Linked DNA regions of Diceros bicornis minor. The protein of the gene in region 1 binds, or shares a complex with, the protein of each later gene. Links are inferred from orthologs where the notes say so. Each region holds a gene or a part of one and is shown on either strand. Other genes may lie near its edges. The genes, in order: ARL1, GOLGA4 and ARFIP2.

What was found.
Region 2: the proteins of ARL1 (region 1) and GOLGA4 are in contact, whole or in part, in a crystal structure (PDB 1UPT), measured with the Homo sapiens proteins. The link is inferred for Diceros bicornis minor from reciprocal best matches to the Homo sapiens genes ARL1 and GOLGA4. Residues at the interface, in NP_001168.1 of Homo sapiens: Ile49, Gly50, Phe51, Gln64, Trp66, Ser73, Ile74, Pro76, Tyr77, Cys80, Tyr81, Ser83, Glu115; in NP_002069.2 of Homo sapiens: Thr2173, Glu2174, Glu2176, Tyr2177, Lys2180, Val2181, Glu2184, Glu2190, Thr2193, Lys2196, Val2197, Thr2200, Val2201.
Region 3: the proteins of ARL1 (region 1) and ARFIP2 are in contact, whole or in part, in a crystal structure (PDB 4DCN), measured with the Homo sapiens proteins. The link is inferred for Diceros bicornis minor from reciprocal best matches to the Homo sapiens genes ARL1 and ARFIP2. Residues at the interface, in NP_001168.1 of Homo sapiens: Glu17, Arg19, Gln38, Ile46, Ile49, Gly50, Phe51, Asn52, Val53, Glu54, Thr55, Gln64, Trp66, Ile74, Tyr77, Cys80, Tyr81; in NP_001363487.1 of Homo sapiens: Phe205, Thr212, Lys216, Thr217, Asp220, Asp278, Ile281, Lys282, Phe285, Leu286, Glu288, Asn289, Lys292.

The regions. Positions count from the first base shown.
Region 1 is NC_080764.1:21,880,279-21,887,837, forward strand, and holds the start of ARL1 (ADP-ribosylation factor-like protein 1), read left to right. Parts: upstream 1-4,508; 5' UTR 4,509-4,682; coding exon 4,683-4,686; intron 4,687-6,971; coding exon 6,972-7,109; intron 7,110-7,559. UniProt on the Homo sapiens protein: GTP-binding protein that recruits several effectors, such as golgins, arfaptins and Arf-GEFs to the trans-Golgi network, and modulates their functions at the Golgi complex.
Region 2 is NC_080741.1:40,222,152-40,229,929, forward strand, and holds the start of GOLGA4 (golgin subfamily A member 4), read left to right. Parts: upstream 1-4,684; 5' UTR 4,685-4,701; coding exon 4,702-4,773; intron 4,774-7,778. UniProt on the Homo sapiens protein: Involved in vesicular trafficking at the Golgi apparatus level. May play a role in delivery of transport vesicles containing GPI-linked proteins from the trans-Golgi network through its interaction with MACF1. Involved in endosome-to-Golgi trafficking.
Region 3 is NC_080746.1:64,548,366-64,556,448, forward strand, and holds the start of ARFIP2 (arfaptin-2), read right to left. Parts: upstream 3,057-8,083; 5' UTR 2,952-3,056; intron 2,175-2,951; 5' UTR 2,133-2,174; coding exon 2,034-2,132; intron 1,774-2,033; coding exon 1,677-1,773; intron 1,010-1,676; coding exon of another isoform or gene 958-1,009; coding exon 839-957; intron 661-838; coding exon 439-660; intron 1-438. Other genes in the region: TIMM10B (mitochondrial import inner membrane translocase subunit Tim10 B), read left to right, coding at 3,249-3,284, 3,485-3,580, 3,748-3,924. UniProt on the Homo sapiens protein: Plays a role in constitutive metalloproteinase (MMP) secretion from the trans Golgi network. May have important functions during vesicle biogenesis at certain cargo subdomains, which could be predominantly utilized by secreted MMPs, such as MMP7 and MMP2.

The DNA.
Region 1 (7,559 bases):
AGGCTGGGGTGGGGGAGTAGGGAGTTATTGCTTAATGGATACAGAGTTTCCACTGGGGTGATGAAAATATTCCGGAATTAGATAGTGGTGATAATTGCAAACCTTGTGAATATACTAAAACCCACTGAATTGTACACTTAAAAACTTTAAATTTTATTGTATGTGAATTGTATCTCAATTAAAAATAAAACCTTTAGTCTAAAGATAAATTCTGCCCTGTTGGCAAAGTACACGTTATTAAAAGAAAACAATTGAAATACAATACATATCTTTATTTGTGAAAATCACACACCTCGTTATGATTTCAAAATGCTCCTTAGTTTAAAATACCATTATAAATACACAGTATGATAAGCACTTCTGAAACTTACAGTTATTATACTTATATTTTTATACTTGTTATATTTCATAGGTTTCTGCTTCATGGAGTAAAATCTGAGCAAAAGAATGTAACTTCCACTATGCAATGGAACACACAGAAATGTTAAGTTTCTAACTTTGGAAACTAAAGCAAATTCTTGAGGCATGGTCATGTGTTTGAAAATCAATTTACCAAATGTTTAAATCATGGCTCAGTCACAGAAGGCATCATAATCTAGTTACTCCAGGCCTGGAAGTCAAATGATCTGGGTCGCTGTCCCAGCTTTGTCACTTAGTGTGTTTCTACTTCATCTGTAATTGAGGTGCCTGGAATTGAGGTTCCTCCCAGTTTTGAAATTCTCCATTTATTTGATCTTATTGTGACTCTTTTTTTCTTTTTTTGTGAGGAGGACTAGCCCTGAGCTAACATCTGATGCCAATCCTCCCCACCCCCTTTTTTTTTTCTTGAGGAAGAGTGGCCCTGAGCTAACATCTGTGCCCATCTTCCTCCACTTTATATGGGACGCCGCCACAGCATGGCCTGACAAGCAGTGTGTCGGTGCGTGCTCGGGATCCGAACCGGCGAACCCCGGGCCGCCGAAGCGGAGTGCACACATAACTGCTTTTGCCACTGGGCTGACCCTCAATCTTATTGTGACTTTATAGTCAAAGGAGGAGTTTTGGAATTGTTTTACTTGCTTGGATTGCATTAAAACATTCACATTTTAAAATTTAGTAAATTATTATTGGACCATAAGATTTGACAAGGATTAAATTGTCCACTCGACTTTTAATAAATTGGACCAAGTGAGCTCATTCTACTGAGACTGTCTAAAGCAATACCACCACCTAGTGACTTCTCTTCAAATATGACAACTTCTTTGAAGATGACAGTTTGGCTTCTCCTATCAAATTAGGACAGGCGGTTTAGATATGACTATTTTAGGAAACAAGTTTAATAATACTGCATAATATATGTTTAAGTTAACTAATATTTATGGCATTAGCTTAAAAACTCATTTCATAATTCAACAAATATTTGTTTAGTCCCTAAGTGCAACAACAAAATAGTGAACAAAATAAACAAAACTCCTTGCCTTTATAGATTTTAACATTCTAGTGAGAAGTAGATAATAAATAATAAGCAAGTAAATTATAATATGTTTAGTAGGTAGTTCTATTTAAAAAAATCAGGATGAGGGGGATGTGGGGTAGATTGCAATTTTATTTTATTTTTTTAATTTATTTTTTGTGAGGAATATCAGCCTTGAGCTAACATCCATGCCAATCCTCCTCTTTTTGCTGAGGAAGATTGGCCCTGAGCTAACATCCATGCCCATCTTCCTCTACTTTGTATGGAACGCCATCACAGCATGGCCTGACAAGCGGTGTGTTGGTGCACGCGTGGGATCTGAACCCAGGCCGCCAGCAGCAGAGCGCGCGCACTTAACCGCTAGGCCATGGGGCCGGCCCTAGACTGCAATTTTAAATGGGATGACATTTGAGCAAAGACTTGAAAGAGGTAAAGTTAATTCTCATGCTTGTCTGAAGAACAAAATTCCATACTTACAATCTAAATATTTAGCTTTAATTCTAGTATGCTGCTATGATTCTGCTTCCTCAGTATTTCTCTTTAGTAAGCAGGAACTATACTACCAGGTCAATATTAATAGGAACGACTACATTTTGAAAAATAGTGTTGCCCTAAAGATAATATACCTTTCCTACAGCGTAATGGCTGTCTTTAGTTAGTATCAGAAAAGATAAAGGAAGTGGTAGTTTTATCTTATTTTTCACCACCTTAACGTGACCTTCATGCACTGAAAATGGAAATTTCCTATGAAAGTAGGAACTGCTCTAATCTTAGGAATTGAGGAAAGCAAGGGGTTAGGTGGAGGTGGGATGTAATCACCAATAAAGATTAGCTAAGTTTCTCTAGGCTATTTATGGCTTTGTTATTTATAAATTTGTCTCAACGCTTTTTGAAGCCATTTTAATCTTCTGTCTTCATATCCTTGGGTTAATATGCACCTCTAAAAGTTAGACATTTCATGATTTGCACACCTTATAGGCATAGCCTAAGGCCTTGAACATAAGTTATCTTATTTGTCCTAAACCTACTTCAGAAAAACTTTAAAGGGTAGTACCTTATCTTGTTATTTTGGTTTTTTTTTTTTTTAGATCAAAGGTTTCTGTGAATAGAGAAAAGATTTTTGTTTTGTTTTTGATGCATCCAGGACATTAGACCAGATCTTTACTGACAAAGCAAAGAATTAAATGAGTGAATTGTGTGTGTGTGTGTGTGTGTGTGTGAGGAAGATCGGCCCTGAGCTAACATCTGCCAATCCTCCTCTTTTTTGCTGAGGAACACTGGCCCTGGGCTAACATCCATGCCCATCTTCCTCCACTTTATATGGGAGGCCGCCACAGCATGGCTTGACAAGTGGTGCGTGGGTGCGCGCCTGGGATCCGAACCAGAGAACGCCGGGCTGCCACAGCGGGGCGCCTGCACGTAACCGCTTGCGCCACCCGGCGGCCGCTAAATGAGTGAATTTTGAAACACAAAGTTTTTGATCAAAGTGCCTAAAGGGTTTTTGTTTGGTCTTTATCACTACTGTTTCCATAGTGACTTGTAATGAAGTGCTTAATACAGATTATGAAAGGCTGAAATGCCATTCAACAGTCAATATTAACAATGCTTTTTAATTTGTATATAGCACTTCAGTTTACACAGCATCCTCACATACATCTAATTTGCTCATTAGGTTCAGAATATACAGTGTGAATATAAAGTTTGTAGTATATCTTTCTTTTCAGTTCCCGTTTTAAAGGAATCTATATTTTCAAGGAACTACGTGCATTGTACTGGAAACATAAATCTGACAGGGACATAAATTTGAAGTAGCAATGGCCAAGATCTTGCAGAGACAGGGACTGGAGGCGGATGAAGAATATCTGAGAAAGATCGCTGGAATCATACGCACGCTGAGGTCCTACAGTGGACAACACAATGCTTACAAAGCAAAGCGTTTAAAAGGCCTAGGTGTACCTGAGTCACTCCCTCTCTCCTTCCCAAACAACAAAACAAAAATAAAAAACAAAACCAAGCCTTTTCTTGCAATGAAAATTTCTATGAATTTATGATTTGGGAGCGGCGAGGGGAGGCGAGAGCCATAGGCACATCTAGTTCAATGCCTAGGCAGCTGGAAAGGTCTGAAAATTGAAGCCAAAAACAAGAGACAGTCCATAAACTTAGAATGGATGAAAATCTCTATTATAGATAAAAACATAACATGCAAAGATGGTATTTGGAAGGAGATCCAAGAACGTGTTAATAGTGGTTATTTCTAGGGACAACTGCGGGATTGGGGGTTAGGGATAGGTTTACTTTTCTGTGTACCTTTAGGAATTTTTAAGACACGCATGCTCAACCTTTACAAAGATTAGAGTCTAGGAGAAGCCCTTCTCCCTATTCTCTAGGTGTTGCTTTCTACCTCCCAACACAGTTCACTGTCAAGACCTGTATTACTCCCAATCGACGCCCCCGAGGGAACAGGTCCCCAGGCCCCATGATCGGGACCAGCCCGCCCACAATACCGAGTCCGGAAAGGTGGTCACGCGCTTAGAGTCAGCTGGAAAAAAGCAGGAGGGGCTCTAACGCTGGCCCTGCAGGCCACCGCGACGCCAAAAGTCGCCAGTTAGCGGCCTCAGGTGCGAGGCTGTCTCTCATCGGTGGCGAGGAATCCTCCTATTACTATTGCGTAGTCCTAGTTCCTCATCGGAGAGCGCAACCCGGGAAAGCAGAGTCGCCCCCTCAGGGCGCCTCCGGCCCTGCAGCTTCGCCGACGCGGCAGGCTGCGCCCGCGTCCAGTCGAACTGCCGCATAGAGGCCAGACTCGCATTCTTGGTTGGCGGATTCGCCACTGTTTGGTGCTAGAATTTAAAATGAAAATTCGAATTTCCCTGTGTCGGAAGTCTTTCTCGTCCAACAAAACAGAAGCAGGAGGGGCGTGGGGCCCTTGAATTTTTTTCTGTCTCCCGGCTTCCGCAGTATCTACGCCCAGCGCGCGGGGCACCTGCGTCGAAAGCGACGACGCGGACGCTCAGGCCGCCGTTCCCGGCGCGCAGTCGCGGCGGCTCCTCGCTCCCGCCCCCGCCGGGAGTCCGACGTGGAAGTTGCTGGCGGACCAGGCTTCCAAGGAAACCGCCTGGGAGCCGGAGCCAAGGCGAGCGGAGGTGGCGGCGCCGGGACGGGAATAGGAGTCGCTGGCGAGGCCGGGGCCTGTCTCTGACGATCGACGAGGGCGGACCGACGTTTCATCATGGGTGAGGGATCTGCGAGGGGCGCCCGGGCGCGCTCGAGGGGCTGCGGCCGAGGGCTGGGGCGGGGGGGTCGAGGGGCGGGCGTGGGAAGCCCAGAGTAGCCAGCTTCTCAGGCGACGGGTCGCTGAGAACTTAGCTCACCTTGGCTCTTCACCTGGGGGGCGGTCAAGAGCCTGCCTCCAGCGTTCGCCCCCGCTTGTAGCCCTTCATCGCGGCGGGTTCGGGGTGGGGGCAGCGGGGTTCCGCGGAGCGCTGCGGCCGGGGAGCCTGGGAGTCCTCTCCCCTGACCGTGAACTACTCCTTCACCCCCTCAGTCACCCCCTGGGCAGAGTTGGTCTTGCGAAGCCTGGCGACATGTCACTTGCAGGTTCGCCGAGGTTTGTTGGGTGAAAAATGAGATCTGACCCCATAGTGGAAGCTTGATTGCCTCTCCCTCCCTGGTGGCTGGGACTGCGTCAGTTTAAAAAAAATCCAGACAGAGGTGCTGCTGCTCGTAATGTTGTTTTATAGCCAACTTGGCATTTGTGTGCTTATCTATAGCTTTTCATGTGGGTAATAGAGTAAGGCGGAGAAGGAAGTGGGGAGAGTATTACTGGGCAGTGAATGAAATTTGAATCTCAGTTTTTGGGGTGCTAATTGAGGGAACTACATTGTCATCACAAGCGTCAGCTAAAGCCTCCCTCCCCGCTAGAGCCCAAATGAAGGTGCAGATTCTTTAACTTGTTTACAACTCTCCAAATGGTGCAAATTCTTTGGCTTATTTAAATCCCTCCGCGGTTTTCTTGGGAGTTGACTTCCTGCTCTGGAACATCACAAGCGCTCTCCTGTCTTTTTCTATAACCCCCTTGAGTTTTGTTGCTCCGCCTCTTTTTTATTTGTAAAAGATAGGAAAGACTTTAAGTCAGCCTTTTCTATTATACTTTCCCCGAGGTTCTCTAGTCCATGTTGTGTTCATTTATCCAGACTCGCAGCTCTTAATTGGGCCATCTCTTTGTTAAATAACCGCGTATTGTGAGTGGCATCACTTCTGTTGTCAACTGTTCCTTATATTGTTAGTGTAACTTTCTTTTTAATCTTTTCTAATGGCTTTTGGTGGGAAAGGGCCGAAAAGCTTTTTTTTTTGTAATTATAAAAGAAAAAATTTATTTTAAAAAAGCTTCTTTCTTTTGTTAACAAGAATAATAAAGAGTGTAAATTTCCGCCTCCCTTACTCTTAGGGGTTATTTTACTTAAACACAAGCGAAATCAATCAATACCTTAACCCGTTACCAGGAGGCCCTCCTGAGATAAAGCATAATTTTTTAATTTTAACTTTAATTTTTTTCTAGCTTTATTGAGATGATTGACGAATAAAAGTTGTATATATTTGAGGTGTGTAATGTGATGTTTTGATATGTGTGTACATTGTGTAATGATTACCACAATCAAGCTAATTAACACACTCATCCCCTCACATAGTTACCTTTTTTGTGTATATTGTGAGAACACTTCAAGATCTCTCTCTCAGCAGATTTCAGGTGTGCAATACATTATTATTAACTGTAGTCACCGTGCTATCCCTTAGGTCTCTAGAACTTATTCATCTTATAATGTTTATACCCTTTGATTAACATCTCTCCCATTTCCCTCACTCCCCCAGCGTCTGGTAACCACCATTTTACCCTCTGTTTGCAAGTGCTTTTATATTACGCAATACCTTGCATATAGGAAGCTTTCTGGAATTATTTCGTGATGCCTTGAATGTAGCTTTATTATTTTTTAAAATGAGTTTTCTCTCAATAGTTTTTGTTATTTTTGGCTTCTGTGTCTCAGTTTCTTGTGCTAGTTATATTGCTAAACAGAGAAATCGCAGTGATTGAAGGTGGTTATGATGGTACTGCTGCTGTGCAGTAATAATAATTGCTTTTCATGTTCGAGGACCTCATTGTCCCACTGTCATTCTGATTTGCTGTTTGGTTTTTAGGGGTAGTGAGGAGATCATGCTGCGGTATACCTATTAATTAGAAAGTGAGCCCCATGAAGGCAGGGGTCATATTTCGCTTATTCTTGAGTGCATCTTCTGTGCCTGCCTGATACAGTATCTAGAACATGGTAACAATCAATAATTAAAAACTTGTTTGATGTTAAATAATATATTTCATTGGGAGCAAAAAATGCACCTATGAATCTAGGAAAATATTGTAATATTATTTAATTTGGTATAGTTTTCAAAGGGCAAGATTAAATGTTTGGTGGACCTAGTTCACAAAGTGATACTGAATACATTTTTGCTTTTACTATTTTTTTAGGTGGCTTTTTCTCAAGTATTTTTTCCAGTCTGTTTGGAACCCGGGAAATGAGGATTTTAATATTGGGATTAGATGGAGCAGGAAAAACTACAATTTTGTACAGATTACAGGTTGGAGAAGTCGTTACTACTATTCCTAGTAAGTGTTGGTATGATAAACTAATTACAGGGGCTTTCTGTTTTTTTTCCATCTAACATCACTTTATTTCGAAATAAATAACTCATAAAATAATTGATAAGGTTTGTAAAGTTCTAGTATGAGTATTGTAAATTTGTTCTCATAAGCTGAGAGGCAGTTTGGTATAATTTAAGGACCCCTGTACAAGGCTGGGTTTTGCTGTTTAGAGTTGTTTTAAAAGTTGGCTTGAGTTAAGCCACTTAATCTCATTGAGAGCTAGTATCCTCATCCATAAAACAAAGATAATAAATATCCACTGGTTTTGAGGGGGAAATAAATGAAGTACATAAAATACTTTGTAAATATCTGTAAAGAATTATATAGATGTTAAGTGATATTGCATGCGAAGTGTTTTTTTTTCTGTATTTGTTAGTATTTTAATTAAGATTCATTTCTCTTAAGTAATTCCAT
Region 2 (7,778 bases), on another chromosome or scaffold:
ATATTGGGGGCCAGCCTGGTGGCATAGCAGTTAAGTTCACGTGCTCTGCTTCAGTGGCCTAGGGTTCGGTTCGCAGGTCTGGATTCTGGGCACGGACCTACACATTGCTTATCAAGCCATGCTTGATATAAAGTAGAGGGAGATGGGCACAGATGTTAGCCCAGGGCAAATCTTCCTCAGCAAAAAAGAGGAGGATTGGCAACAGATGTTAGCTGAGGGCTAATCTTCCTCACACACACACACACAGAAAAACAACCTACAAATATATTTATATACAGATGATTAAATTTACATATCTCTATATTTTCATAACTACAGAAACCAAATGGAAATAATACAAACTAAATTATTAAAAGGGGTTATTTAGGGAGATAAGATTATACTTCTGTTTTTGTTACAGAAAGTAGATATTACTTTTGAAATAAAAAAGGATAAAAATACAGTGTGATACATAAATTAACAGCATGTAAGACTGAGGTTGGATAGAGGAGAGCATGATGAACTCCACTGATGTGTGTGTGTGTGGGGGATTTGGAGGCAGTGTTAGAGAATGCTCGAATGGGGTGATGACATGTGAGCAACATTATCAAGGGTGGATAAGTGGAAAAGGAAAAAAGGTACAAACTCATGAGGGACAATGAGTATACTGCGCTCATTAAGATTTTCACAACTACTATGTATAACTTGTAGACTAAAAAAAGAATAGCAAGGACGTATACAAAAGCAGTGTGCAAGGGAACCACAAGTTAATTTGACATTTCTGGAGCTTTGAAGTGTGAAGGGTGGAAAGGGTATAGTAAGAGGGAAAGCAGGAGCCAGGCTGCCGAGGGCTTCTTGTACTGCCTGGGAATTTAAACAGTGTTCTGCAGGACAAGGAGGCCACTGATGGGATTTCAGCAGGAGGGTAACATCAGCTATGTAGAAGATGGATTAGAAAGAAGCAAATCTGGAAACTGGGAGATCATTTAAGTGGTGAGGTATACTGAAGACTAAAACGAGTGGCAGAGAGAATAGGAAAGAGGATGGATTTGAGAAGTATTTCAGAGTAAAAGACACAAGACTTGGTGATTCTCTGGATATAGGTGAAGAATGAGAGAGGGATGTTTTAACTCACTTTCAAACTTTTAGCTTGGGCAGATGGAAATGACATCAGCCAAGCGAGAAAATACAGATGGTAAAACAAGCCTGTCAAGAGGAGAAGATGCAAGAAGTGAGAGGAAACACAGAAGAGGCCAATCTGATGGTGATGGTAGGGGGTGTAGTAGTGGATGATTTCAGTTTTGGACATGTTGAATTTGTGTGCTTATAGGCCATTAAGAGGAGTTGTCCAGTAGGCAGTTGGATGTATCAAGACTAGGTAATTCTGCAGAAATTTAGTGTCAGGCCCTGTACCACGCACTGGCTGACTTTTATGACAGGTATGGCTCTTGCCCTCCCAAACCTGAAAGCCTAGTGGAGATGCTATAATCAGGAGCTCAGGGGGAGGCCTAAGCTAGAGCTCTCAACATATAGATGGAGAGTGTTACAAGTAAAAAGAGAATGAAACTCTTAGAATTTATAAATATCATTTACTATGAGCTATACTTTATGTACATCATCTCATTTAAGCTTCACAACATTCCCATGAAACGTTAAAATGTTACAGATGAGGAAAATGAAGGGCAGAGAGTTGAGACTCAGAGGTCACAATCTGGCCTTTGAGCTGAATTTTATTCTAAGAGCTGTTTTGCTGCAGTCATTTAAAAATGTCTCGATGGGTTTGCACTATCTAGTTTGTTACTTTCCCTCATTGTCCATTGTCTTATATCATATGTGTTTCACTCATAACCTTTCTACTCCTTTCAGGGATTTGACTTTATATGTGGTTTATCTAAGTGTCAAAGGTCACAGTGCCAAAAAAATGGCTGACTTATATTTGAACCAAAATCTGCGTGACATCAAAGACCATGCTCTTAACGGCTATGCTCTACTCCTGTGGGTGGCAGGTATCAGGATTCTTGATGAGGGTTAAGAAAGCGTGTTGTGTGGTGATGCAAAAGGGCTGATAAGGCATTTGTAGAAAGCAGGAAATCAGAGTTAAAAGTTTCAGCTGTAATTGGTTCTTTTGGCTATGTCTTTTCTGACATACTATTTTCTTAGCTAAGGCTTGGAAAGGAACTTAATAATATGTAATAGTTTTCTTTTTTTTTTGTGAAGAAGATCAGCCCTGAGCTAACATCCATGCTCTTTCATCTCTAATCATCCATCCTCCTCTTTTTGCTGAGGAAGACCGGCTCTGAGCTAACATCTATCACCAATCCTCCTCCTTTTTTTTTTTCCCCCAAAGCCCCAGTAGATAGTCGTATGTCATAGTTGCACATCCTTCTAGTTGCTGTATGTGGGACGCGGCCTCAGCATGGCTGGAGAAGCAGTGCGTCAGTGCGCACCCGGGATCCGAACGCGGGCCGCCGGTAGCGGAGCGCATGCACTTAACCGCTAAGCCACGGGGCCGGCCCGATATACAATAGTTTTGTGAAGCACAGTCCCTAGTGATTATGTTATTCTGAAAATTTCCTGAAATATGGAGATGGGGATGGTATCTGCCATTGGAAGGAGTGAAAGAATGATAATTAGGTTTGGTCTATAATTATGAAGATTGCTTCTTTTTGTTAAAAAAGATAGGTACCAGTTCCACTGGGGAAATAAATTCATGAGGCCTCTGGTATTATGATTGGATGCAACCCATTTCATGCAAGGTGTGCTAGTCCTTGGGCAGCTGGTTAGATGAGTCCAAGTTACTAACATGGAAAACAAGGGCAGGCAGGGTGCTCTGGCTGGGTTGGTGCAGGACTCTGAGAAGTAGGCCAAGGCCAGAGCCTTCAGAAGGTAATTTGCATCAAGGAGTGGCAGAAGAATTGAGCATATTTTATAGGTTTAATTAGAACAGACAATGAGAGAATGTTAATTTGCAGAGGCCTAAAGCCAAATGGGCTGTGAGGAGGCTTAATGTTTCAACAAAATTGTGGTTAAATGTGATGGTTTCAACCCTGCCCCTCCTCTTCTCTTTTTTGTGTCCTAGCAAGGACATAATTAGCCCTCTTCTGGTCTTTTTCTTTCTCTAAGTAATATTTTGGATCTCTTTTTATCATTTGTTTATTACTTATTATGGCCTGCTTTGATAGGGCCCACCTACATGTATACACATATACACAAATATATACATATATACACACACACACATATACATATGTATAACATTGGCAACCTTTGATTTATAATTGTGAACGTTGGGGTGAGGATGCATATCAGGCATCGGCAGTCTGGGAGCAGCCGAAGGTCTATTGCCTTTACAATCTTGAGAGAGAAAGACCCCTGGAAAAAACAAACTCTTGGTTATTACATAGGTGTTCACTATGAGACTAGAGAGGACTTAGCCCAGTTGTCAATGCAGTGTTCAGACCAGGCCCTGCTCTGGCTCTAACACATTTAGGGATCAGGCTATGGAATCTTAGAGAGCAACTTGCTCCTATAATTGCTAGTAAATAAAATTTGCTAAAATGTGAAGATCAGCGTATACTCTCTCAGGTTCTGATATCTGAGGCGATGTGGAGCAATTTGGTACAGCATGCAGAAGTAGGTTGCTGAGCTGGATCTGAGGGTTCACAGACCGCCAAAGTTCGGGGTGTTTGATGAGTCAGGCACATCTCTTAGGACGACTGCAGGTGTTAGGGGTAAATCTGAACTCTTCAGGAACCTGTGTCTTTCATCAGGCTGTGAATTCTTTTAACATCCCCAAAGACCTGGCACTCACAATGATAAAAATTTTTGAATGAATATGTGAAAATATACGATTTCGGTGAAATAAAAAATAAAGGCAGATGTCCAAACGATTGAGATCTTACAACATCGGCCTGAAACATCTGGACCCTGGCGCCTCCCGTCAGGTACTTATTGACCCCTGGAAGAGTCCAGGAGAGGAAAGAGGGCCCCTCTGGGGAGCAGCAGGAGTAGTAGGCACTGAAGATACAGAATCCTCACCACAAATACTGAACAGAAGGACACTATCCTTCAGAGCCCCAGGCAGGTTCCCTGGAACACCCTTCTCCCACCCAGGACGCTCACATACTTGGTTCTTCGCTATGGGCCTGTCAGCCCCGCCGTCCTCAACAGCACCACCCTCCCCGCCTGACTTCGCAGCGCTGAAGCCCAAGTGTGCGTCAGTGAAGCGCTCAAACCACTCCTCGCCTGGATTCTGGGGGTTTCTCTGCACGCAACGACTTTAGGCAGCACAGGATTCTGCGTCTTCCTTCACGTCTCGCGTTCGGGAGCGATACCCCGAGCGCGCATGTGCTGGCCGACTTCGTGTGCTTGTCCCCTCCGGCGCTCCGTAGAGCTCCCTCGGCGAGCTCCACGTAGGCCGCGCAGGCGCTTTTGGCACATCGTTCACCTGCTGCCGTTGTCGTTGTCGCCGCCGCCGCTGCCGCCGGGGCTGGATGGGGGGCCGAGGCCAACCAGTGGCACCCAGAAGAAAGAGACGCGGCGGCGGCGACGCCGACACCCGCAGGACGAGTGTCCCGATCCTCCCGCGAGCCCAAGGAGGAGGAGGCGAGGCCTGGCCCCCGCGGTCCCTGGCGTAGAGAAGCCGCCGTCGCCTCCGTGGCGGGGTCTCCCTGGGCACTCGCCCCTCAGGTCTCATTCACACTCAGGACCCCGCGGTGCGCCATGTTCAAGAAACTGAAGCAGAAGATCAGCGAGGAGCAGCAGCAGTTCCAGCAGGCGCTGGCCTCCACTCAGGTACTATGGCCGCCGCTCTCCCCTAATTCCGGACACTCCTTGACGCCGGCTCGGGGGCGAAGAGCAGGGGAGGTTCTTCCGTGACCCTTGACCTCTAACATTGTAATTCGCCCAAACCCAGGACTGGGAATGAGCTCAGGGCAGCCTAGGTCCTCCGTGACTCCTGACTGGGGTCCCCCATCCCGAAACTCCGTTCGGGAGAGTGGGTGGGGGCGGCCGGATCCTTGGTAGCATCTGACCTCTGTTCGAGTTTTCCACTGATGCTCCACCCCGGCCTGAGAACCAGTGAGAGGGACTCCGATCTTGGCGTGATTTTTGACCCATATCAAAGGTTCCCCCGCCCATCCGAAACCCCAACTCAAGACTGAGTGTGGGATGGGAAAACCTGGGTCCCTTGTCATATCTGACCTCTTCACTGAAGTCCTCCCTCTCATCCCTGACCCGAAATTGAGTACGGAGGAGACAGGATCCCGCAGGACTCCTGTCCCGTGGCGAAAGTCTAAGTCCAAACCCTCGTCCAGGGGTGAGGGCCAGGGGTCGAGCCATTCCAGGCCAGGCTGCTTGCAGGAGCGTTGGAACCTGAAAGAGGCGACAGTGTGGCCGGCGTCCAGCGCCTGAGGCTGTCACGAGTTAGTCCCTTCGCATAACTTGGTTGATCTGGGCAGGCGGAGGGGCTGATACTCCGAGACCGGGCCCGGCTGCTGCCTGTCCACAGCCTGACTTCTGCTTCTTCAAGAGTCTTGTAACGTTTGTTTTTCACGAATAGAACTGCTTGAGGAAATGACAGTTTCCAGGAAAAAGGGAGCGTGTGAGTAGTGTTAATTTAAAGAAACAGTCTCCTAAGCGCCAATGAATGTGTGTTTTGGGTCTGGCAGCGCGTGGTCTCTTCAGCGAAGAGAATTTCTTCCCAGCCTTTCTGAGTCTCAACAGATTGAGCAAATCTCTTAACTTTAGAGTTTCTACAAGAAAGACTGAGTTTTAACTGGTTTGGAGGCATTTCTAAAACATTTTTTAACATAATATTTGTCTTATGCAACTTTTAAACAGCTGTTAACCAACTGATTAACAACTATTAAACAACTACTGCATTGAGTTTTTTCTGGAACTGTATATTGAAGTTCTGTTAAGCTCGTGTAGAGTAAAACAGTGCTTGAAATACATCAGAGCATTACGCTGAAGGCTTGTTCATTCTCCCATGTAAAATGTAAATAACGATGAAAATTTAAATAGTAAATATTTTATTTTTTGTACCATTTACTTCAGGCTTTTTAAACTTTACAAAATACGATTATTTAAGAAACATAGAAAAAGCTTAAAACTGAGGTACGGATGAGGCATGTGGGGAATGAGCATGTTAGTGAGTGTAAGGCTTGCTTACATTTGGGAATGTGTAAAATATCGTTGATCCAGGATTCCACCTCTAGAAATTTATTCTAGGAAAATTTAGGATGTATTAAAGATTTAGCCACATGGATTTTCATTTCAGTGTTGTTTTAATAGGTAAAAACTGGCTAAAAATGTTCAACAATAGAAAATTGATTAAATAAGTTACATCAAGTAGTCAGTTATTAGGCAGCCTTAAAAAATGCCAACACTTATTGGGTTTTTACTATGTGCCAGGCATTTTGCTTAATATTTTACATGGATTATTTTATTTAATTCGGACATAAACCCATGAGGTAGTTTCTCATTTATGGAGTGAAGCTCAAAGAAGTTGAGTGACTTGCCTAATGTCACACAGCTAGTGTTAGAGCCTACAGAAAAGTTTTATTAATACGCAAAGATATTTGTGTTAAAAGACAGATTGAAAAGCAGCATGTGAAGTGTGATCCCAGTTTTGTGGGAAAAAATACGTATGTAAGTATATATACAGACAGTGAAAATAGTTTAAGAAGGAGATGCTCTAAGGTACTGATGAGATCTTATGAGTATTCTTTTTCATATTTGTGATGTTTAAATTTTTCTTCATGAAAATGAATTTGTACGTTAGCAAAGAGAGATTGTTTTTAGAATAATAATAAAAAAGCTATAGTTACAAGCTAACATATGAGAGCTTTCAGTTTCTATAGGTTGATGCTTCTGGTCAGACAGTGCAACTGGGTCAAATAACTTTGTGTACAAAAGATTTAAAACAATCTTCTTTGATAATATTTATATTTATCCGGAATGCAAAAGTAAATTGTTAGTGATGAACTACTGATAGAAACTTGATTCTCTTGTGGTCTCAGATCCTCAGCTATTCAGAACCCTTCAGGATGAGTTCTGGATTATTGTTTTCAGAGTTAAGGATTTCTTTCAAACATGAATTAAAAAACAAAATAGAAAAACCTTTTTTTTTTTTTTTTGGTGAGGAAGATCGGCCCTCAGCTAATGTCTGCTACTCCTCCTCTTTTTGCCGAGGAAGACTGGCCCTGGGCTAACATCCATGTCCATCTTCCTCTACTTTATATGGGATGCGCCACAGCATGGCTTGCCAAGCAGTGCGTCGGTGCGCACCTGGGGTCCGAACCTGCGAACCCCGGCCTGCTGCAGCAGAGCCTGCGCATTTAACCACTTGCGCCACCAGGCCTGCCCCAGAAAAACCTTTTTTGATGACAATTCTTTTGCAACAGATTACACGTATCTTTGTTTTCTTAAGCAAAAGATCTTGAATTTGTATATTATCATTTCTTCATTTTTGTATAAATTGTCTCGAAGGCACCATGCCCTCAAGAATTTAATGGGGTGTAAAAGCCAGTTCCCTTTTACCCACTCAAGCGAATTTGTTTGTTTGTTTGTTCTTGGACTACTTATAATTATTTTTTTATTTTTATTTTTAATTTTTTTGCTGAGGAAGATTTGCCTTGAGCTAACATCTGTTGGCAGTCCTCTTTTTCGCTTGAGGGAGATTAGCCCTGGGTTAACATTGGTGCCAGTCTTCCTCTCCTTTATATGTGGGACACTGCCACAGCACAGCTGGTGAGTGGAGTAGGTCTGCGCCCAAGACCTGAACTTGCAAACCTAGA
Region 3 (8,083 bases), on another chromosome or scaffold:
TGGAACAGTCAAGGACTGCCTCCAGCAAGGCTCTTAGCCAGAAAGTTAGTGGGGCCACCCTGGGGATACCTAGGGTAGGAATGTCGGGTTGGGGTTCTCAGATAAGTTCACAGGACTAGAACAGGGAAAGCTAGTGCAGCAGGCAAGGGAGGGGCTCCAATTAGGCTGAGCACCGAAGGCATTCTCACCTATGCAGAGAAGGGTTACTTGTGGGGCACCTAATGTGCTGCCTCCCCCACCCACTCCGACTTCTGGACCTCTGTACAAACCCTTAGGCTGACTCCACAGGTGAGTGCTGTTGGGGGTAGGGCTGGGCCCACCCTGGAGGGGTTCTCCCTCTGGGCTGCAGGGAGGGAGTGAGGGAGGGAGGCTGAGGGGAGACTGCCTAGGAGGGCCTGGGCCCAGTCCCCCCCACCCTCTTTGGCCTGGCTGAGGCACCTGAAGCTCTGGGGACTTCTGGCTGAGGTCAGCAAAGGCATCACCTAGTGCATGCTGGGTCTGCAGCAGGCTGTAGAGGTGGGCTGTCAGTGCCCGGCCCAGCTGCAGGACACTCTCATACTTGCGCTTTGTCTCACGCAGCAACTCAATCTGCAGCTCTAGCTCCAGGTCCACAGTCCGGGAGCCTCGGCCAAATCGCTCTGATAACAGCTGCTTTGTGCACTGAATGGGAAGTTGGGGAATAGGTCAGAGACCCTAGCACCCTGCCTCCCCAACAGGTATCTACCCCAGCATCCCCAGGCTCCTCGTCTTAGCCACAGATGGGATATTAGGATCTGGAAGGTGGGGAAAAGGTACTCAGGGGGAGTTTTGGGGGAAGGGAGAGGGGCTTGAATCCCACCTTATATGTGTTGATGCCCCATTTCTTGACAATGTCAAACTTCTCTCCAGCGATGCCCCGAGCCACCTCATCTCCAGGGCCAGCAGGAGTGGCACTGTGAGATGGATGGCGGCCAGACCCTAAAGGACCAAGGGTACAACCAGACACCTCTGTGGCTCCACCCACACTTCCCTCCCAGCACATGAAAACAGCTTCTTTGAAGGAGTGGAAGCTAGACACAATTAGATTCACCTACTCACTAGGAGGAACTCATATCTCGGGCCCTGAGACCCAAATCCCAATATATATCTGGCCTCCTTCTGAGGTGGTGGAGATTGGATGGGGAGGGGAGAGGGAGTTGCTGGTGTACAGGGGCAGAGGAAACAAAAGAAAATATGCTGAGTATGGGGTGGCAGGTCAAGGATGGTGGGTCTTGATAACAGGAAACCTGGTTGACACGCTCATGTGGAATCCTAGTCAGTGAGAGATTCAGCGCTGTTTGTTCCTCTAAATTTTAGAGTCTAACGTAAAACTCTGAGAAGCTCACAGAGTTCCAAATCAGCCTCATGCTCCAGAGCACGGGGAACTCCTGTGAAACAGAGTTCTTAACTTGACTCAAGTGGTGGCAGCAGAGAAAGGACAAATGGGCGCATCTCAGGGGCTAAATGGCAAGTGGGAGTAGCTGAACAACACTGGTAACTGGCCTTGGGCTGAGGAGAGTCCATAGGGTTCATACTAGCAGAGGTTCCCAAGATCTCTGGACATAATTCAAGCTTTCTTAGATATATACTACACTCCCCAGAACCATTCCTCTCCCCCTCTCCACTCAAGCTTCTTGGCCTGTTCTGATCATTCATACCTGTGGGGATGAGTCCATCACCAGAGCCCCCATAGCCACCAGACACAATGCTGGTTTCATTGAGATTGGGTCCTGACACCATCACTTGCTGGAGGTCCTATAGGCCAGAGAAGAGGGGGGCTTCAGGAACATAAGGGCAGCTGAAGCATTTTGGGGATGAGAATAAGCTTGGATTGAAGCATCATAGAGAGAGTGCACAAGGGAAGTCTGCACAGAATCAGAATGAAGATTTATAAAAAGATTGAAGGGAGTTAGATAAGTTAGGGGAAGCCTACTGGAATAGGGGGTCAGAGCCCAGGGTTTATAAATTAGGATTCCTAAATTGAAATATTACGGAGAAGAAGCAAACAGAAGCACCTGCTCCAGCCCATCATCCTCAGGAAGCTGCCCAGCTTCGCCGTTGCCATGGATGGGGATCTCCATGGTGGCTGCCTTCCCTAGGATCCCGTCCGTCATGGCTAGGGAAGGGACTGGAGTCAAAGTCTCCACCCCAGCGCCCTGCAAAGCCCAACAGAGACAGTTCTGGAAACTGGCCAGTACTACAGAAGAGGAAGGTATCCCCTGCCATTCCATAGGTTTGAGAGGTTGTTCCAGGGCTTGAGTGTTCTGGGGTTTGGCCACTACTCCTTTCTTCAGGCATGTATTTCTCCCCTCCAAGGCGCATATTTTTACACATTCATACTCAGGCCTCAGGTGTCTTCTCATGACTCCCAACCCCACCAGGACTCTATTGATCATTCATGCATTCAATCATCCAACAGACATTTAATGAGTGCATACTATGTGTCATGCACTATTTGAGGCAACGGAAATACAGTAGCGAACGAGACAGACAAAGTCTGTGCTTTCTTGGAGCTTATCCCCATGCAGGTGTTTCCCCCCATGAGGAGAAGAACCCCTTTCCAGAGCTCAGGTGCCTAACCCCCATTCAGGTATGTTCTCCATTGCTTGGCCTTTCACACTCTTTTAGTGTTTGTTCCCCTTTCCTTCAGGTGGTCTCCCCCTCCTCCATGCCATGCACCTCCTGCCCTACACCCAGGCCTTAATTGAATCAGTTGGTATCTGTTCTTGGCCTCTGAGAAAAGCCTCTTTTTCCCAGGATATAGGTGATCCCTTTCAAAGTCAGTTATGTCGCTCCAGGTGTGTGAATGCCCGCCCCCCCCATACACCTGGGCATCAGGTGTGCCCTCATCCTTCCTCAGGGCTCAGAGGCACCTTGCCCTCAGGACAGGCTTGTGCTTTCAACTTCCCCTTGCCCAAGTACGTCCCTCTCACCTCGGGCCGGGCCGCTCTTCCCCTCAGGGCGCCAGGCCCGGGCGGCGCGGGGACCTCGGGTTCCAGTTCCCGTCGCGATCCTAGCAGCAGGTCAGGGACTCGGCGGAAGTGACGTCCTCTCCCGGGCAGAAGAAGCCGGCCACGTCGCAGATTATAAGGGCGGAGGTGACGTTGGCAGCCGGGGGCAGGGCGATCCTTGAGCCAACTCCTCATTCCTTGGGGAGCTACGAGAGCTTACTTCCGGGGCGTTACCGAGAAGCTGTAACGGAAGTGACGTAGCCGCGCGCCGGCGGCGTGATGGAGCAGCAGCAGCAGCAGCAACAGCTGAGAAACGTGAGTGGGAGCTCAGTCGCTGAGGGGGTATACTTTCAGCTGGCATCCACGTCCGCGTGGCGGGAACCCCAAAGAGCCAGGGGTCCGAGGGCTGGAAACGTCGGGCTGTGGTGCTCGGTGCTGGGAAACCGTGGGCGGCGCGGCTTGAATTGAGATGCGGGCCCCCTTGTCTCTGAGTTCTTGGTCTCCTTTTCTCCCAGTTACGGGACTTCCTGTTGGTCTACAATCGCATGACGGAACTCTGCTTCCAGCGCTGCGTGCCCAGCCTGCACCACCGAGCTCTGGATGCTGAGGAGGTGGGGACCTGAGTAGAGAGGGTAGGCTGCTCCCTCCTTCCCTCACTTCCCCCATCTCTGGCCCTGGCCTTTCCACGACCCCTTGCTCCTAGGCTGGGGATGGGAAGGAAGGAGACGGACCTGACAGGACACCTTTGGCCTCTACTTCCACCCTGTCTTCCTTCCAGGAGGCATGTCTGCACAGCTGTGCTGGGAAGCTGATCCATTCCAACCACCGCCTCATGGCCGCTTACGTGCAACTCATGCCTGCTCTGGTACAGCGCCGCATCGCAGACTACGAGGCTGCCTCAGCTGTGCCAGGTGTTGCTGCTGAACAGCCCGGAACCTCGCCATCAGGCAGCTAGCCATCCCCAACCCCAGGAAGGGAGGCGCTTGATGGACCCTCAAATTGAAGGAGCCAGTAGACCTTGGGCTGGGTGCGGCCTGTATAGAGAGAGAGTTGCTTGAGAGCTGGGTGCCATTGCTCCTTTTCCTGGAGCCAATAAACCCGCTTTTACTCTGTTTCATTTATATTCTGGGCAGGGAAGCTTTGCCCACTTTATTGGGACCATGCTTTGTTTTGTCAGTTAGTGCATATCTGCTGGCTTCAGCCCTGGCAGGTGGGAAATTGCCTTCTATGTCTGGAAGGAAAACCTCAGCATTCCCAGGCAGCTGGTTAAAGCAAGGTCTGTGGGTATAGTTTTAAGGTTAATAATAGCAACAGGAAGTTGGTTTCTGCCCAGAAGACAGAGAAAATGGGAGCTCTCTCTAGTTGTCCTTAACTTAAACCTCTCTGACTTAAACGGCCCACTTTTGAGCCAGATATGCGTTCCTTCATAACTGTTTTTTCATGGACTGTGTCTTACAAGAAGGAATTTTGCCAGATTTAGGGAAAGGAGGCAGTATCTAAGGACAACAGATCAAGAAACCACAGGGCTTTTAGGCACTACCTTCTGGGAAGTCAGTAGCCCCAGGACAGAGATGAAACCTGTAAGAATTTTGGGGTTTTCCGGAACTTCCACCATTTCTTCAAGTTGTTACTTTGTTACTATTTTGTGTCTTCCCTGGATGAGCAGTAAAACCTTTAAACAAAGAAGGTCTATATGCCTTGTCTTCAGGGGCAGTCAGAAAAGGGAAAACTTGGGGGACTGTATTCTGTAATACAGTCAGACTTGAAGGAGAGAAATCTAAGGGAGAAATAGATGGTGGTGGTTATGGGAAAAAACAAGGATAAAGCGAAATCTTTGGGACCTCTTTAATATTACCTTAATGTCTCACTGCTTGTCTGTAATCTAATTCTAGCTCCCCTAACTTCTACCCCACCTTGTTCCCACTGTACCCATTCTGTGATTTCTAATTCCATCTTCTACATTCTTTTCTCATTATTGGCCCTCTTGTGGAGTTTACTTCTGTACTTAGCAGTCTGAATGGCACTCCATCAACACATTTTCTTGCCACCCTTGTGTCCTTTTTGTGTCATTTCAGCTGTTTTATCTTTTCTATTCCTCATTCAAGCCGTTAGAGGAAAACACAGCTGTGTAATGAATGCCACTAAATGTTCAAGGTCTGCAACCCCAACCAAGCCCTCACTACCAACAAGCAACCCTGTATGAGTTCCTGGTCTATTCCCTCTCCTAATCAACATGGCAGTGATTTTACACCTTCACTGCTCTCCTTAATCCTCCACCTCACCCTCAACTATCCCCCATCAGGTGAACACGTTTCATTTTTTACAGAGGAAATGGAAGCTCTTAGACATTAGTTCCCAGAATAATCAAAAACTCCTTATGACCACCCACAAAGCAGATGTTCTCTCTTCTCTACGGATCAGGGAGGTGAAATTCTCCAGTAGCAGACTCTGTATTAAAATGCAGATCTGACTTTAAAATCCATGTGCTTTTTACTACACTAGGCTGCCTCTCAAAGTAATACCTATTGAGCACCCAGTTTGTATAGGTTCTGATGTTGGTATATGTTATGCTTTATCTTAGTTAATCTTTACAACAAAACTATAAGTAAGAGGTATTATCCCCACTTGACAGATGAGGAAGCAAGAATCCAGAATGTACCAGAAGCCCATCTTATACAGTTACCTATTAAGAAGAGTGGTTGCAATCAGCTTTTTGCCTCCTTAGCTGCTGTCTCTTGAACAGAAAAATTTATTAGGAACGTAAAAGTTGCTGAGCAGGAACTTTCCTATTGACTGGCTTCATGTCTACCCAATAAAATTCTGTCCTTGGAAAGTATAAATGCAAGTAAACCATCTTTTGAATTTACCAATTCCCAGAGATGGGAATGAGGCCCTGGGATATTGTGCTGCTGGTGGGAGAATTCTTCTACATTAACATTTGTGTGTATCCTTGCAGTAAACTTCCCTTGTGAATTATCTGTGTTTCCAGGTCACATAATTAGTAATTGCTGGAGCAGGGCTAGGAACATAGATCTGTCTGACTCTAAAGCCTATGTTCTTTGAAATTCCACAGTTTATATTTGCTTGCTCATCTGCACCCATCCAGTCCTTAGGCATGGAAAAACAAGTGGCCCTCAATCTGATCCATCAATTAGTCCCTTAAATTTTCAATCTTTTCTGTCCTGGTTCTTGCTCCTATTTATAAATATGTTTGATACTTAGAAGTACCTTATTCCTACCATCCATCTTCCATAGTTGTGGAAATCTCGCCCTTAGGTCTTGCCATAAACCGTAGTCATTGGCATAATGAGAGCAATGGTGATGTCTCAAGTACAACACAAGAATAAATGTTGACAAAGCTTTATCCCTTTATCACAAACATTGGAAACAGCGTTGGTGTTCCCACCATTGCGGCTTTAGAACTTAACTGCCCACTCATTTGCAAAGACTGATTCCTTTGAGACTATTCAACTATACCACTATCTCTCATTACTTGTTCTTAGTAACTACCACTCTCCTATTTCCTCTAAATAGCTATCCCTTGGTCTTCATATCCACCCCTTGGTGCTTTAATGTTTACATGGACAGTCCATTCAGTATTTTGGTCTCTTAATTCCTTGACCTAATCTCCAATGATTTCCAGTCTGTCTTAGCCAGCCACTCCCTTAGTTATATCCTAGCCATCGTCATCAGCCCAAACTGCTCCATCTTCAAAACACTGTTACTTGCATCTTACTCATTGACAATATTTCTTCTACTTTGTTTATCGAACTATTCCTCTACTACCATTCTTTGATTTCACTGGAGCATTCACGCCATCACTTCTACCTTCTCTCTTTCCATTAACCCCTTCCTGCCTTTAGATTACTATCCAGCTGAAATTCTTGTGATTCTCTTGGAATAAGCTAAATTTCCTTGCTTCATGTCTTTGTTGGACTCTTAGATGAAATGAAACATTTGTGCCTGCATTTGGGCAGCTAAAAGCTGCCCAAGGAAATCACTGTAGAGCACATTTATATCAACATGAATCCGTGGTTACCAACTTCAAATGGAATCTCAGCCCCTGTAATCCCACCAGGTTTTTCTTTTCATCTTTTCTCCCTGCAATGATTATTTCAAACCAATATTCTTAAGCTTCTTATTGCCCCCCACCATTCTCTTCACTTTCTGCAGGTAACCATATTTCTTACTTCATAGGCAAAAGTAGAAGCTATCAGTTGAGAACTCCTGCAACATCTCGCAACCAAACTTGGTCACTCACCTGGCATCTGCTTCATTCTCTCCTGTCTGAACAAGGCAAGCATCCCTCTCAAGGTTAATGCCTATTCCTGTGCTCTGAATCCTAGTCTGTCCTTTGGGAATCTCTGACTTTTTCCCACTTTACTTCTCACCAGTGTTTAACATGCTAAAGACTCCCTTGTTACAACAAAAAAAACAGTCTATACCTCATTTCTCCTCCAGCTACCATCCTGTTTTTCCACTTTATAGCTAAATTCAAAACAGTTGGTACTTTGGCCCTCTCCATTCCTATTCCTTCACCCAGTCTGTTTTGACTTCTACAACTTTTATTCTATTGAAATAGTTCTTAGGGAGGTCACCCTGGTTCACCAAGTGACGTTCATGTTTCCGAGTCCAATGGTTATTTCCAAGTCCTCAGCTTACTTCACTTCTCGGTAGCGTCTGTTACTATCGACTAGTTCCTCATCATCGACAGTCTTCACTGGTCTCGGGGATTCCACCCACATGACTGTACCACTACTTCTTTGGCTGCAGCTTCTTAGCCTCTTGCAGGCTCATCCGTGTCTGGCCTTTAAATATAAGTTTCTCTAGGTCCTGTTCTTTTTCGGTTTAATTTTTCTAGGATTGTTTCATCCGCACTCTGGGCTTTAGTTACTGATGACCAGATCTCTGCTCTGAGCTACTTGATTGACATCTCCACTTAGGCATCTCAAAAACATCCCATACGCAACATGTTTCCTCATAAACTTTCCTCCTATGCTTACCACTCATCCAGTTGCAGAAGCTAGAAACCTCACTCATCCCCTCACTCAATTGGCAAATCCTATCTGTTTACATTTCTAAATATCCCTTGATTCTGTTTGCTTCTCTCCATT